2 linked regions of the Stegostoma tigrinum genome follow. The main gene of each other region encodes a partner of the protein of the gene in region 2 in a complex. Links are inferred from orthologs where the notes say so. Each region holds a gene or a part of one and is shown on either strand. Other genes may lie near its edges.

Region 1 (7,548 bases), on a different chromosome or scaffold from region 2:
GTGGACAGGACCAACCGCTTGCTGTTTTAACAGCATCGATGCTATAGGAAGAATGGGGCGGGGGTGTGGGGGGAAAAAAAAAAGGAGGAGAGATTGCTGTGGGGAGTGGTGGTGGGAAGAGGGGACGGGTATTGGTGTTTATGTCCAGACGGGTAATTTGGGTGGAACTGAGAAGAAAGAAAAGAAATGACAAACCTTATTGGGATCGTAATATAGATGTCCCCGGTAAATCAGCAGGAAATTGAAAAAAGAACAACTTTGTACGGAGGTGTCAGTTATCTGCAAGAATAATAGGGTGGTTATGGTAGGGGATTTTAATTTTCCAAAAGTGGACTGGCACTGCCAGAGTGTTAAAGGCTTGGATAAAGAGGAATTTGTTAAGTATGCACAAGAAAATTTTCTTATTCAGTATGAGGATGTACCTACTAGAGAAGGTGCAAAACTTGACCATCTCTTGGGAAATGAGGCAGCGCAGGTGACTGAGGTGTCAGTGGGGGAACACTTTGGGGCAAGTGATGATAATTAAAATAGTGATGCAAAAGGATAGACTGGATCTAAAAGTTAAAAGTTTAAATGGAGCTAGGGCAATTTTGATGGTATTAGGCAAGAACTTTCAAAAGTTGATGGGGTCAGATGTTCGCAGGAAAAGGGATGGCTGGAAAATGGATAACATTCAAAATTGAGATAATGAGAGTCCAGAGACAGTATGTTACTGTTAGGGTGAAGGACAAGGCTGATAGGTATAGGGAATGCTGGATGACTAGAGGTTTCCATCAAGAAAAAGGAGGAAGCATACATCAGGGATACATAGTAGAGATCGAGTGAATCCCTAGAAGAGAGTATAACAACAGTAGGAATATACTGAAGAGGGAAGTCATGACGGCAAAAAGAGAGAGACAGGAACGTGAAATAGCTTTTGCAAATGTAGTTAATGAGAATCCAAAAGAAATCTAAAGTTACATTAAAGACAGAAGGGTAACTAGGGAGAGAATACAGCCACTTAAAAATCAGCAGGGCTACCTACACGTGAGACCACAGGAGATGGAGCAGAAACTAAATGAGTATTTTGCATTAGTGCTCATTGTGGAGAAGAATATGGAAGTTAGAGAACTTGGGGGATAAATAGCACCATCTTGAAAAATGTCCATATTTCAGAGGAAGAAGTGTTGAATGTCTCAAACACAAAATGTAGATAAATCCCCAGGACCTGATCAGGTGTAATCTAGAACTCTGGGGGATGCAAGGCAACAGATTGCTGGGACCGTTGCTGAGATACTGTATCAATAGCCACAGGTGAGGTGTCGTAAGACTGGTAGTTGGCTAATGTTGTGCCACTATTTAAGAAAGGAGGCAAAGAAAAGCCCGGGATTGTAGACCAGTGAGACTGGCATCAGTGGTGGGCTGAGACAAGGTCTTATTCCTGGGTGGATGTGTCTAAAGTTAGACAGCATAGGTTTAAGTTGAGAGCAGAGAGATTTTTAAAAAGAGACCTAAGGGGCAAAATTTTCATGTAGTGTGGTTTGTGTATGGAATGAGCTGCCAGAGGAAGTGATGGAGGCTGGTACAATTACAACATTTAAATAGCATCTGGATGGGTACACGAGTAGGAAGGATTTAGGGCCAAACGCTGGTAAATATGACTAGATTTATTCAGGATATCTGGTCAGCATGGATGAATTGGACTAGAGGGTCAGTTTTCACGCTGTATATCTCTATGCCTCTGCCTCTCAATCATTTCCCACTCCCACACCCCTCACTGAGCTTTTGATCATGAGGCTCCCCATCATATTTTGCTCTATAATGTCTGTGAAGTGCTTAAGGTTATTCCATTACATTCAAAAAGGTGCAACATGGAGAAGTTTAGCATCTGTGGAGAGAGCGAGACAACATTTTGAGTCAGGTATGCCTTCATCAGAACTGAAAACTGGAAATGTTTTTTTTAAAAAAATACTTTTTGACAAAAGACAGTCGATGAGCAAGAGCGAAGATTGTATGGAGGCCCAAAGCAAAATACAAGAGGGTTGTTAATAGTGGAAAAGATGCAAGGGTTGTATGGTGGCTTAGTGGTTAGCACTGCAGCCTCACAGCACCAGGAACCCGGGTTCGATTCCAGCCTCGGACAACTGTGTGGAGTTTGCACATTCTCCCCGTGTCTGCGTGGACTTCCTCCTACTGTCCAAAGATGTGCAGGTTAGGTGGATTGGCCTTGCTAAATTGCCCGTAGTGTTCAGGGGTGTGTGGGATGCTTCAAGGGGCGGTGTGGACTTGTTGGGCCGAAGGCCCTGTTTCCATACTGTAGGTAATCTAATCTAATCAAATCAAAATGTCAGCTTTTGTGCTCCTGAAATGCTGCTTGGCCTGCTGTGTTCATCCAGCTTCACACTTAGTTATCTTAAATCAAAATGTGAATTGAGATGTGAAAAGCAGCGAACTGACCCTTTCTACTAAGTGCAACGTAAGCAAGACAAACAACACGGCTAGGAGATGCGGCGAAGACAGAGGTTAAATACTCTCATTGCTCGAAGTCTTAAAAGCATGGAAATTTTCATAGCATCAGTGACGACCTTTCTTCACTCAGAATTTTTACAACGCGAAAACGGCCCCGACCTTGTCATCGTAGCCAACCACACAAAAACTACCTGCTTTCCAGTCCCACAGAATCTACTGCTTCTTGCTTCACTGTCACGTCAGCCATGATTTCAGTTGTACAGCATGACAATATATTGGTGGCTGAAGGGTTTGTTTGCGGATCTGGTCTGTAGCGGTGCTGACTGGCCCCCTCGGTCCGATATTGCAATTCTTGCGTTTCAACGTTGTATCAAACCTCAGCGTGAATGTTCCAAATTGCACGCTCACCCTCCAGCTCCGGGGTAAACGATCTACAGCAGCAAATTACTTCAGCCTCTTGAACTAGGGGACCTTTCATTCTGCAGTCTCAATCTCTTATTGGGCAAGAGATTCATTTGCCAGTCTACACTCCTCGCTTCCCGTCGTTAATTACAAGCAGTTTTTTTTTTCTGCTGCCGTATCTTACAAGACAGTTCTGAAAATAGTGAAAGACCAAAGAGGCACACGTTTAGTTCAATAGATAGCCTTCCCCAGCTCGACTTTTCTTCCTCTCCGGCAATCTGAGAAGCAGCTGTTTAATTTGAGCTGGGGCCTAACCAGGGTTTGGCGCTTTTGCGGACTCTGTTCGCCCTTTGAAACACAATCACGTGACAACACGTTTACCATCCCTCCGGGAGTAACCTGGGAGCGGAAAAAGGATGCATTAAAAATACATTAATTTAGTTTACGATTTAGCTTTGTTTTGCATGGCAAGTCGCTTTATGTAGGATATATTAATGGTGCAGCAAGGTTAAACAAAAGAAACTGGTCAGTAGACCCGAAACGTTAACTCTAAATTTTTCTTCAGAGGCTGCCAGATATGCTGAGCTTTTCCAGCAACCTGTTTTTGTAAACAAAACTGGATCTCATTCACTAGTTAGATTTAAGGCAATTTAATAACGGGAGCAAGAGTGAGGAAGAATAAGTGTAATGTGACTGAAGTTTAATTTCACATTAGGCGCACAAGAAAAAGGCGGGGGTGAGGAAGAGAAGGAGAAATTTCGGGTTAAGAGCAAGAGCAAACAAAGTAAAAATAAAATGCTTGTAAATAATTCGCTGAGCCACACAGTTACTCCCATCAATTTAACACTTACCGGATTAAAGTGTTGAGAGACTGATCACTAAACTTATCTTTATGTGGTGACTTCAGTTTTTATTACGGAATTGCAGCAACTTCACGCCACCAATAACTGTGAAGACAGCCGTTTACTTGAAACCAACTGGAGTACCATAACCCAGCAACCTTTTGGCTCTTTTAGTTTTTAATCATGCATCTTCTCCTCACCTGAAGCTATTTATGCAGAGCACCTACATTTTGTATTATTATTTATACAAGTTCCATTTGGAAGTTAGTCCAAAATCCAATTCCACCACCCCTTCAAGTTAATGCATTTCAGATTCAAATTCTCACATTAAAAAGATGGGACAAGGAACAAAGTTTTTTTGGGGAATACAAATAAATCAATCACTGGTAATCTAAATATTTGTCAAAAAAATTAAGCATTAAGATACACTGGATACTGCAAAGGCTAGAGGCCCTGACAACGTTCTGGCAATAGTACTGAAGACTCATGGTCCAGAACTTGTTACTCCCCTAAGCCAAGCTGTTCCAGTATTGTTACAACATTGGCCTCTAACCAAAAGTGTGGAAAATTGTCCACAAATGTCCTGTACACAAAAACAGGACAAACCCAACCCAGCCAACTACTACTCCATCAGTCTATTCTCAGTCATCAGTAAAGTGATGAAAGGTGTCATCAACAGTACTATCAAGCAGCACCTGCTCAGTGACAACAAGGTGTAGAACTGGATGAACACAGCAGACTGAGCAGGAAGGCTCATGTTTCAAGCCTAGACCCTTCTTCAGAAGTCAGGGAGGGGAAGGGGGCTCTGAAATAAATAGGGAGAGAGGGGAGGGGGGGGGGGTAGAGGATGGAGAGATGAGAAGATAGGTGGAGAGGAGACAGGCAGGTCAAAGAGGCAGAGATGGAGCCAGTAGAAATGAGTGTAGGTGGGGAGGAGATAGGTCAGTCCAGGGAAGACGGACAGGTCAAGGGCGTGGGATGAAGTTAGTAGGTAGGAGTTGGGGGAGGGGCTTGAGGTGGAAGGAGGGGATAGGTGGGAGGAAGGACAGGTTAGGGAGTTGGAGACGAGCGGGGCTGACTGTGGAATGTAAGGAGAGGGGAAATTTTGAAGCTTGTGAAGTCCACATTGATACCATTGAGCTGCGGGGTTCCCAAGCGGAATATGTGTTGCTATTCCTGCAACCTTCAGGTGGCATCATTGTGGCACTGCAGGAGGCCCGAGGTGGACATGTTGTCTGAGGAATGGGAGGGGGAGTTGAAATGGTTCGCGACTGGGAGGTGCAATTGTTTAGTGCAAACCGAGCATAGGTGTTCTGCAAAGCAGCCCCCCCCCCAAGCCTCCGCTTGGTTTCCCCAATGCAGAAGAGGCCATAACGGGAACAGCGGATGCAGTATACCACATTAGCAGATGTGCAGGTAAACATCTGTTGATGTGGAAAGTCTTCTTGGGGCCTGGGATGGGGGTGAGTGAGGAGATGTAAGGTCACGTGTAGCGCTTCCTGCAGTTGTAGGGAAAAGTGCTGGGTGTGGTGGTGCCGGAGGGCAGTGTGGAGTGGACAAGGGAGACACAGAGAGAGTGGTCCCTCCAGAAAGCAGATAAGGGTGGGAAGGGAAAAATGTGGAGTGGTGGGGTCGGATTGCAGATGGCGGAAGTGTTGGACGCTGATGGGTTGGATCTGGAGGTTGGTGGGGTGGTATGTGAGGACGAGGGGGATTCTGGTTTGGTTGTTATTGTTGAGAGGGGGTGTGAGGGATGAGTTGCGGCTGACACGATCGAGGGTGTTCTCGACCACTGATTGGGGGAAGTTGCGGTGCTTGAAAAATGAGGACATCTGAGATGTACGGGAGTGGAATGCCTCATCCTGGGAGCAGATGCGGTGGAGATGAAGGAATTGGGAATAGGGAATGGCATTTTTGCAGGAAGATGGGTGGGGGGAGGTGTATTCTAGGTAGCTGTGAGAGTCGGTAGGTTTGAAATGGATCTTGGTTTCTAGGTGGTTGCCAGAGATGGAAACAGAGAGGTCCAGGAAGGAGAGAGGGGTATTGGAGATGGTCCAGGTGAACTTAAGTTTGGGGTGGAAGGTGTTGGTGAAGTGTATGAACTATTCAAGCTCCTTGTGGGAGCATGAAGCAGCGCCGATACAATGATCAATGTAACGGAGGAAGAGGTGGGGTTTAGGGTCAGTATAGGTAGGTAAGAGGGATTGTTCCACATAACCTACGAAGAATTCTCGGTTCGCACTAAACAACTGCACCTCCCAGTTGCAAACCATTTCAACTCCCAGTTCCATTTCTCGGACGACATGTCCATCCTGGACCTCCTGCAGTACCACAACAATGCTACCCAAAGGTTACAGGAACAGCGACTCATATTCTGCTTGGGAACCCTTGTTTGTTCAAATATGAGCAAAACAGCTGAATTCCAGAGGTAAGGTGAGAGTGTCAGCCCTTGATATCAAGACTGCATTCAACTGAGTGTGGCATCAAGGAGCCATAGCAAACTTGGAATCAATGGGTGTCAAGGGGCAAACTCTCTAGTGGTTGGATTCATACCTGACACATAGAAAGATGGTCATGGTTGCTGGAGGTCAATCAAGGTGAGTAACTCATCTGACTCCTCAAAGCCTGTCCACCATCTACAAGGCACAAGTCAGGAGTGTGATGGAATACTCCCCACTTGCCTGGATGAGTGCAGCCCTAACAACTCTCAAGAAGCTTGACACCATCCAGGACAAAGCAGCCCACTTGATTAGCACTACATCCACAAGTATCCACTCCCCCACCACTGATGCTCAGTAGCAGCAGTGTGTACTACCGACAACTTGCACTGCAGAAATTCACCAAAGATCCTCAGACTGCACCTTCCAAACTGACAACTACTTCCAACTAGAAGGACAAGGGGATCAGCCATATGGGAAGACTACAACCTCCAAGCCACTCACCATCCTGACTTGGAAATATATTGCCGCTCCGTGACTGTTGCTGGGTCAAAAATCCTGGAATTCCCTCCCTAATAGCATTGTGGGTCAACCCACAGCAGGTGGACCGCAGTCATTCAAGAAGGCAGCTCATCACCACCTTCTCCAGGGCAAGTAGGAATGGGCAAGAAATGCTGGCGAGCCAGAGATGCCCAAATCCCACAAATGAATAAGGGAAAAAAATGGTTTGATACAGCTTTAGTGAGGGAATTCCAGATCTTCAGATGTAGACAGCCTGAAGAAGGTTATTACCAACAAAACTTCTCAAGACTATAAAGTGTGCAAAGAAAACACATGGGTCCATTATGGAAAGAATAAAACAACAATCAACAGGTATTATTACATTTTTATTGAACTTTGCTTGCATAGTTGGAGTACTCCATCCAAATTTTGGTCTTCACATTGCAGGAGGGATAGTGAAGTACTGAATAAATGCAGAAAAAAAAACACTGGGGTGATCGGATTTACAGAATTAACCAGATGTTGATATTAGAAAAAATGATCTAGTGATTGGTATAGACAGGTACAATGATTTTAGAAATAAAGGGCTGAGTAGACCGAGGAGAGGTCTTAAAATTGTAAAACGGCTCAATAGGGCAGATGGGGGAAACTGTTTCCACTTGTGTGTGAGTACACAGCGAGGGGGCAAAAATATACGATAGCCAATAACAGGTAAAATAAAGTATTCAGAAGATTTCCTTTACACAGAAAATGCTGAGAATGTAAATTCTAAATGCGATGATTGAAGCAGATATCAATGATAAATGTAACAAGTGACTTGTATGATAAAATCATTACAGCATCGGAGAAAGCCATTCAACCTATTATGTTCATGTTGGCTTTCCAATATACTGCCATTCCACTGGTAGTAACCCGCA
Region 2 (8,361 bases):
GAATGAATGTCAAGGCAGCTACTCTGATGCAGTTTTGAGGGAGCACTGCACTATCAGATGAATGTCTCATATATCAGATAAGACATTTGGACTGAGGCCTGAGCTGTTCGGTGCCCTCCTCGGGGGATGTGAATGATCCGAAGCCACTAATTCTAATAATAGGCCAGTTATCCCTGTGACCTGACCATGTTTATCCTGCAGCAGACATCACAAAAGAGATTGATGTTCATCAACACATCTCTGTTTGTGAAAGTTTGCTGTGTGAAAATAGGCTGATGCGATTTGTATATTGCAACTGAGGTTACCTTTCAAAAAGTATCTCGTTGGTCCTTTAGGACATTCTGCAATTGTGAAAGATGCTGTAAAAGTTCAAATGATTTTTAAAAATTAATTAGCTTCTTGTTCTTTATAGTACTTTATAGTTCTTTAATTGACTTGTTTCTTCCATCCATAGTAATGAAGATATGTTTGCGAGTTTTCAATTTTAAGTGTATGGCAGTGGCAGCAGCCACAATATTGTTACAGTGTACTAAATTGGAGTCACGTACCAAGTAGCTGCTAAACTGGGAATGTGTGCTGAATAAGTCTTACACAAGAAGCTAAAGGGGTTGTGAGAAAACAGGAACGTAGGAACAGGAGTAGGCCATTCAGCCCCTCAATCCTGTCCACCATTTAATGAGCTCATGGTGATCTGTGGCCTAACTCCATGAACCTACCTTTGACCCATATCCTTTAATGCCTTTGCTTAAGCAAAATTCATATAAGAATTAAAATTAATAATTGATCCTGTATCCACTGCCACTTGAAAAGAGTTGAAAACATCTACACCTTTTGAGTGTAGTAGTACTTCCTAACATCACTCCTACATTTAGCCCTAATTCCCAGGCCATGCCCCCTAGGTCTAGAATCCCCAACCAGTGGAAATAGTTTATCTTTATCTACCCTTTCTTTTCTTTGTATTATCTTGAAGCCTTTGATCAGGTCATCCCTTAATCTTCTGAATTCAACAGAAAACAGGCCTAATTTGTATAATGTCTCTTCATAACTTAACTCTGAAGACCAGGTATCATTCTTGTAAATCTACATTTTACCCCCTTTCAGGTTAATATATTCTTTCTCAGATGCCCACAGCAGGTCTTACCAGAGTTTTGTACATCCATAGCAAAACTTCTGCATCCTTGAACTCCAGTCCTCTAGATATAAAGGCCAGGATTCCATTAGGTTCCTTGATTATTTTCTGTGCCTGCTCATGACATTTTAAAGATGTTTGCAACTGAACCCCAAGTCTCTTTGGACAAACACTGTATTTAAGCATCCAGAAAGTACCCTGATTTGTCCTTGTCCAGACCAGAATTACCTTAGTTACCTCTGCAATTTCCCCAACACAGATGTTAGGCTAACTGGTCTGTAATTCCTTGGTTTTTGTCTTTTGCCCTTCTTAAAAAGCAGTGTGACATATTCAACTTTCCAATCCAGAGGGATGAGTCCTGTATCTAGAGAACTCTGAAAGATTATAGTTAGGACATCTACAATGGACTCTCCTATCTGCTTTAACACCCTTAGATAGAAACCGTCAGGTCCTGGGAGTTTATAAGTCTTTAATTCCATTAATTTCCTCAATGATTTACATACATTAATTTTATTCAGTCCCTGTTCCCAATCCACATTTAATTTTCTCAGACTTATGGCAAGCTGTTCTCTTTTTTAATCATAAAAACTCAGGTAAAGCAATTGTTCAACATGTCTGCCAATTCCTAGTGGTCATTGACAATATTCCCACTTTCGGTGAGGTTGCAGGCTTGCTCTCCAAGCCAGCATGTTTGATTGCAGATGTTTCGTCACTCTGCTAGGGGACAATGTCAGTGCGCTGACAGTGAAGCGTTGGTGTTCTGACCCATTTGTTATTTATATGCTTTGGTTTAGTAGGGTGGTGGTATGACTTCCAGTTTTGTTCTTCATTGGTTTGTATATCGGGTCCAGTTCACTGTGTTTGTTGACGGAGTTCCGGTTGGATTGCCAGGCCTCTAGGAATTCCCTGGCATGTCTCTACTTGGTTCGTGCTATTATGGATGTGTTGTCCCTGTCGAATCTGTGCCCTTCTTTTTCCATGTGCATTGAGACCAGTGAGAATTGGTCATGTCTCTTGGTGGCTACTTGGCATTCATGTATTCTTATTGCCAGTTTTCTTCCAATTTGGCCTATGTAATGTTTCTCACACATGGTATTTTGTATATTACATTTGTTGTATTGTTTGTGGGAATGGGGTCCTTTACATTCGTCAGTTGCTGTTGCAGGGTGGTTATTGGGTTGTGATCTACCCTGATACTTAGGGGCCTGAGTTGTCTTGTGGTCATCACTGATATGTTCCTAATGTATGGTTGGGTGACTAGTGTGTCTGGCCGTGTTGTGTCTTTCTGTTGTGGCCTGTCAGAGATAATGCCGCAATGTGCTATTCGAGTATGTACAATCCGAGCTACAAATCTCAAAAACCTTCCCACTTTCAGTCTTTAGTGGGTCAAAATTGTTGCCGACTACCCAATTTCCCTTTATGTAACTATAATGTTTCCTCTTTTTGATTTTGATATCCCTGGCAAGTTTTCTTTCACAGTTCCTTTTACTTGCTTGTATAAGTTGCTTTGTGGTCTTTTGCTGATCTTTGTATCTTTCCCATTCACCGGGATCTATGTTTCTTTTTGCATTTTTGTAAGCTCTTGATTTCAGTTTTATGTCTCTTGACCACTTTTATGTGAAGTGGAGCTTTTCCTCTTTGAGACATAGAGTCCGATAGCATGGAGACAGGCCCTTCGGCCCAAACTGGTCCATGCCAACCAAAATGTCCTACCACACTAACCCCATTTCCCTGCACTTGCCTCTGTCCTTCCAAACCTTTCCTATCCATGTATTCATCCAAATGCCTTTAAATGTTGTTAATGTACCCGCCTCAACCATTTCCCCTGGCAACTCATTCCATATGCGTACCATACTCTGTGTAAAAATATTGCTCCTCAGGTTCCCATGTATTCTTGCCCCCTTGCCTGAAACTGGTGCCATCTTGTCCTTAATTCCCCAAATTAGGGAAAAAGACTGATTGCATTCACCCCATCAATGCCTCTCATGATCTTATAGACTTATATAAGTTAGCCCCTCAGTCTTCTACGCTCTAATGTAAACAGTCCTAGCTTGTCCAGCCTCTGCCTATAACTCAGTCCTATAGCTGAGTCCTGTCAATATCCTTGTAAATTTCTTCTGCAATCTTTCCAGTTTAATAACATCCTTACTATAACAAGGTGATCAAAACTGAACACAATATTTCAAGTGCAGCCTCATCAACATCCTGTACAACTGCAACATAACTTCCCAACATCTATACTCAGTGCCCTCACTGATGAAGGCCAGTGTTCCAAAAGCCTTTCTCACTGCCCTGTCTACCTGTGACTCCACTTTCAGAGAACCGTGCACCTGAACTCCCAAGTCCCTCTGTTCCACTACACTCCATTCACCATGAAACTCCGGCATTGACGTTCCAAAATGCAACACCTCACACTTATCTGTTTTAAATTCCATTTGCCATTTCTGAGCCCAGTTCCCCAGCTGATCAAAATCCTGCTGTAATTTCTGATAACTTTCCTCACTGTCCACGATATCTTCGTGTCATCCCCAAACTTACTATTCTCAATCAAATCATTGATACAGATAACAAATAGCAATGGTCCCAGCACTGGCCCCTGAGGCACACCACTAGCCACCAGTCCGACAAGCATCCTTTCACTATTACTCTCTCTAGTTCTTATCAACAAGCTGACTGTGTATCCAATTTGCCAGATCTCCCTGGGTTCCATGCAACCTAATCTTCCAGAGCAGACGGTATAAACTGATTTTGTATTAAATGTTTCTTTAAACATCCTCCACTGCTCTTTAGTTGTTTTACTCGTGAGCAGATTTGCCTAGTTTACTGTGGATAGTCTCTGTGTCATGTCATTCAAGTCAGTCTTACCTAAATGTAAAACTCTTCATGCTGCTCATAAAGCTGCCTCTGTTTTATGCTTTCAAATGCTGCATCGAATTCAATCATGTTATGATCAGTATTTGATAAACGGTTGTGCACAATTAGGTAACTAACTAAATCTGATTCATTACTCATGAATAAATCAAATTTTGTTTGTCCCCTTGTTGCATTCAGAACCAAATGCTGTAGGAAACTGTCCCAGATGCACTCTGGAAATTCACTACCTGTGTGACGGTGCTTGTCTGCCTCTCCCAATCAATATTAAAGTTAAACTTCCCCCATTAATGCTATTCTGGATTAGCGGACCCTTGCCTTAATTTATGCTGAAATTTCGCAGTTGTGGCAGTATCTGAGGGGAGAGTCATCGAATCCCTACATTGATGAAGTAGGCCATTTGGCCCATCGAGTCCACATTGATCCTCCCACCCAGACACACCACCCTACCCTGTCGTAGCAAGCCTGTACTTCCAATGCCTGATCCACCTAGCCTGCACATCCCTGGGCACTACGGACAAATTAGTCACTGGACTCGACACGTTAACTCAACTTGTTCCCCACTTTTTAAAAAATCAGATCTCCAGCGTCCGCAGTCCTTTGTTTTAATTTTAGTGCCTAATTTCTGTATTTATAAAATCAAGCTGCTCTAGGGGTTCTGTACACATTTACTACTGATGCATTACATGAAAATGGCATCAGATCAGTGGAATGCTGACAGCTGAGCCCCAAAACAAAACTGTTGACGCACTTCCAATGGATGCTACATATTTTTACCCAGTAATACTCCCTATTGTCACTCGCTTTCCGTTGGAGCTCCTTTGCAACAAGATCAATGCAGAGCTACAATTTTCATTCAGTTTCTTCACTTTCCCACCGAACGAACCGGCAACATTGCCTTCAGCGCCGCCCCGCTGCCAGGCGCCATCTTGTTGCGGGGCAAAATGCCGGCCACCTGACCCCCTAGGGCGCAGGCGGAGAGCTGGATTTGCCCCGTACAAACATGGCGGCTCACAGCGGCCTCGCTCGGACGTGAAACGGCTGGAGGACCGAGACGGGAAAAAGAAACAAGAGTAAAGAGGCGGTAATCGGCCTTTGGGGAGAACTCGAGAGCAGTGTGGGCTCGCGGCCGTGCTGCCAGGTTCGAGGATTACAGGCCTTCATCAGGTAACAAAGTGAGAAGCTGGATGAGCACAGGAGGCCAAGCAGCATCTCAGGAGCAGGAAGGCTGACGTTTCGGGCCTAGACCCTTCATCAGATAATTGCTGCCCAGTGATCCAGGAAGCTGTAAGGCCTGAGAGTGCCTAAGGGTAGGGGACGAGGGGTAGGAGCTGGGAAAATGGGAGAGGGGCAAGGTTGGGGAGGGGAAGAACGGGGGAAGAGGAGGAGCGGGGAAAGGAGAAAGGGAGGAGGGGGGTGAGGTGAGGACAGGGAAGAGGGAGGAGCTGGGGGGGCGAGGTTGGGAAGTGGGGGGTGGCGAGGTTGGGAAGTCGGAGGAGAGGGGGAGGGGCAACTGGGGAGAACGGGGAAGTGGGAGGAGCTGGGGAAGTGGGGGGGTAAGGTTGGGGAGGGGAGGAGGTGGGGAAGGGGGCAAATGGGGGAAGAAAGAGGAGCTGGGGAAGTGGGAGGGGGCAAGCGGGGGAAAGAGGGAGGGGCTGGGGAAGTGGGGGGGGCAAGCGGGGGAAAGAGGGTGGGGCTGGGGAAGTGGGGGGGGCAAGCGGGGGAAAGAGGGAGGGGCTGGGGAAGTAGGGGGGGCAAGCGGGGGAAAGAGGGAGGGGCTGGGGAAGTGGGGGGGGCAAGCGGGGGAAAGAGGGAGGGGCTGGGGAAGTGGGAGGGGGCAAGCGGGGGAAAGAGGGAGGGGCTGGGGAAGAGGGAGGGGCTGGGGAAGTGGGTGGGGGCAAGCGGGGGGAAGAGGGAGGGGCTGGGGAAGTGGGTGGGGGCAAGCGGGGGGAAGAGGGAGGAGCTGGGGAAGTGGGAGGGGGCAAGCGGGGGGAAGAGGGAGGGGCTGGGGAAGTGGGTGGGGGCAAGTGGGGGGAAGAGGGAGGAGCTGGGTAAGTGGGAGGGGGCAAGCGGGGGGGAAGAGGGAGGAGCTGGGTAAGTGGGAGGGGGCAAGCGGGGGAAGAGGGAGGAGCTGGGTAAGTGGGAGGGGGGAAGTGGGAGGGGGCAAGTGGGGGAAGAGGGAGGAGCGGGGAAGTGGGAGGAAGTGGGAGGGGGCAAGCGGGGGGAAGAGGGAGGAGCTGGGTAAGTGGGAGGGGGGAAGTGGGAGGGGGCAAGTGGGGGAAGAGGGAGGAGCGGGGAAGTGGGAGGGGGCAAGCGGGGGGAAGAGGGAGGAGCTGGGGAAGTGGGAGGGGGCAAGTGGGAGGGGGCAAGTGGGGGGAAGAGGGAGGAGCGGGGAAGTGGGAGGGGGCAAGCGGGGGGAAGAGGGAGGAGCGGGGCAAGCGGGGGGAAGAGGGAGGAGCTGGGTAAGTGGGAGGAGGCAAGCAGGGGGAAGAGGGAGGAGCTGGGGAAGTGGGAGGAGGCAAGCAGGGGTAAGAGGGAGGAGCTGGGGAAGTGGGAGGGGGCAAGTGGGGGAAGAGGGAGGAGCTGGGGAAGTGGGAGGGGGCAAGTGGGGGGAAGAGGGAGGAGCTGGGGAAGTGGGAGGGGGCAAGTGGGGGGAAGAGGGAGGGGCTGGGCAAGTGGGAGGGGGCAAGCGGGGGGCAGAGGAGGAGGGGGGTGAGGGGAAAGGGGCAAGCGGGGAGAACGGAGAAAGAGGGAGGAGCTGGGGAAGTGGGAGGGGGGTAAGGTTGGGAAGGGGGCAAGGGGTAGGATGGGGGAAGAGGGAGGTGCTGGGGAAGGGGGAGGTGGGTAAGGATGGGAAGGGGGAGGGGGAGGGGGAAAGGTTGGCAAGGGGCAGGTGGGAGGGGATATTGGCAGGGCAGTGGAGATGCAGGGAGGGGGATTGGCTGGAGGGGAGCTGGGGAGCAAGGAGAGATGGGGGACTGTGGGAGGGCGGAAGGGAAGAGGAGGTGGGGGAAGGGGGAGACAGGGAAGGAAGGACGGATTGGGGAGGGAAAGGAAGGGGTTTAGGAAGGAGTAGTGAGAGGAGAGAAAGCAGCTGGGGAAGAGGTGGGGAAGGGAAGTTAAGGGGAGCTATAGGATGTTGGGTGGAAAGGAGGAGGGAGGGGACAGTTGTTAGGAGTGTTGGGGGATGGCGGAAATTGGGATGGGGAAGACCATTTGGAGGGGCTGGGGAGTTGAAGCTTCACAAAGACTGGTCTTATCACGAAATCCTCTTTGATGTTGGAAAGCATCCAGCTACGCAAAACATTTACATCCGAGCCTAATTTTACCTCCCTCCCCTTTTAGTTCTGCCAAGGTCGTCCCTAGTTTTTGATTGTGGTTGGGGTGTAAATCCAGTCGGATGCTTTGTCTTAGACGGGTTCAGTTTCTCGAGTGTTGTGTATAAATGTTTACCCCAAGTGTCTCAAAATATTGAATCAAGTAAACAAAACAAAAGTTGTTTGGAGCTGTGTACTGTAAGATTCAGTGAGACAGCACAACTGAAAGACTGGCTGAAGCTACATGGCAGCTATTGCCTTGCTGTTGGAAGCTGGAGTCTCAGCAGATGTAAGAAAAAGGCAATCCCCTGAATATGTCGATTGAAAATATTTGCCTCAGAATGGCAGCACCACAGTCTGCTTCTTGTAGCACTCTGTTCCTGGCTGCTTGCGTTACATCACTTTGTGCTTCTGCAAAGAGTTGGCATCGATTTGATGGGCCAAATGCAGTGTTTCTGTGAGCCACTCTGTATTCCACAGTGGCTTTTGATCTGCTGTTTTATGATGTCCATGGCAGAAGCTTGATCCTGGCTGTATTCATCACAGCAGCATTTTGGTTCTTTGACCAGCTTGGAGCAACCTCTGCAGAGGTTGCCAAATTTGTGATAATACATATGCCCACGGTTATGGTAAAGCTTGGAGATTCTCCTGTACAGGTATGCCCTCAGATGAGGTTCTAAGGCTCTGGTTTTGTGAGATCTCCTCTGTTCCCCAACTGGCACAGTTTTTGCCGCGGTACTAATTTGTTCTTTGTCGTGCAGATTGCGAAGCAGCGATGTCTGAGCAAGGCCCCAGTGGAGGTGCTGGCCATCCCAGCACCATCAGGCCCGCTGTAACAGTAGCTAGGGGCCTGCCAGGTCGACGGAGCTCTGCCACCGTTACCCCAGGCCGCCTGCCCTCCATCCGCTCACGGGACCTAACACTGGGAGGGATGAAAAAGGTCAGTACCATTTGGAGATTTTCAGAATCTGGACAAAGTAGATGGGGTGGGAGGGGTGCGGCGAGGGCCGTGTGTGCGAAACAGTTCCCATTGTTGGTAGGTTA

What was found. The genes of interacting proteins can lie anywhere in the genome.
Region 1: polr3d (region 2) and polr3f share a complex: the UniProt entries of both Homo sapiens proteins name them as parts of the RNA polymerase III complex. The link is inferred for Stegostoma tigrinum from reciprocal best matches to the Homo sapiens genes POLR3D and POLR3F.

What each region holds. Positions count from the first base shown.
Region 1 is NC_081362.1:22,718,462-22,726,009, reverse strand, and holds the start of polr3f (DNA-directed RNA polymerase III subunit RPC6), read right to left. Parts: upstream 3,111-7,548; 5' UTR 2,696-3,110; coding exon 2,640-2,695; intron 1-2,639. UniProt on the Homo sapiens protein: DNA-dependent RNA polymerase catalyzes the transcription of DNA into RNA using the four ribonucleoside triphosphates as substrates.
Region 2 is NC_081393.1:16,508,777-16,517,137, reverse strand, and holds the start of polr3d (DNA-directed RNA polymerase III subunit RPC4), read left to right. Parts: upstream 1-4,948; 5' UTR 4,949-5,167; intron 5,168-8,078; 5' UTR 8,079-8,092; coding exon 8,093-8,257; intron 8,258-8,361. UniProt on the Homo sapiens protein: DNA-dependent RNA polymerase catalyzes the transcription of DNA into RNA using the four ribonucleoside triphosphates as substrates.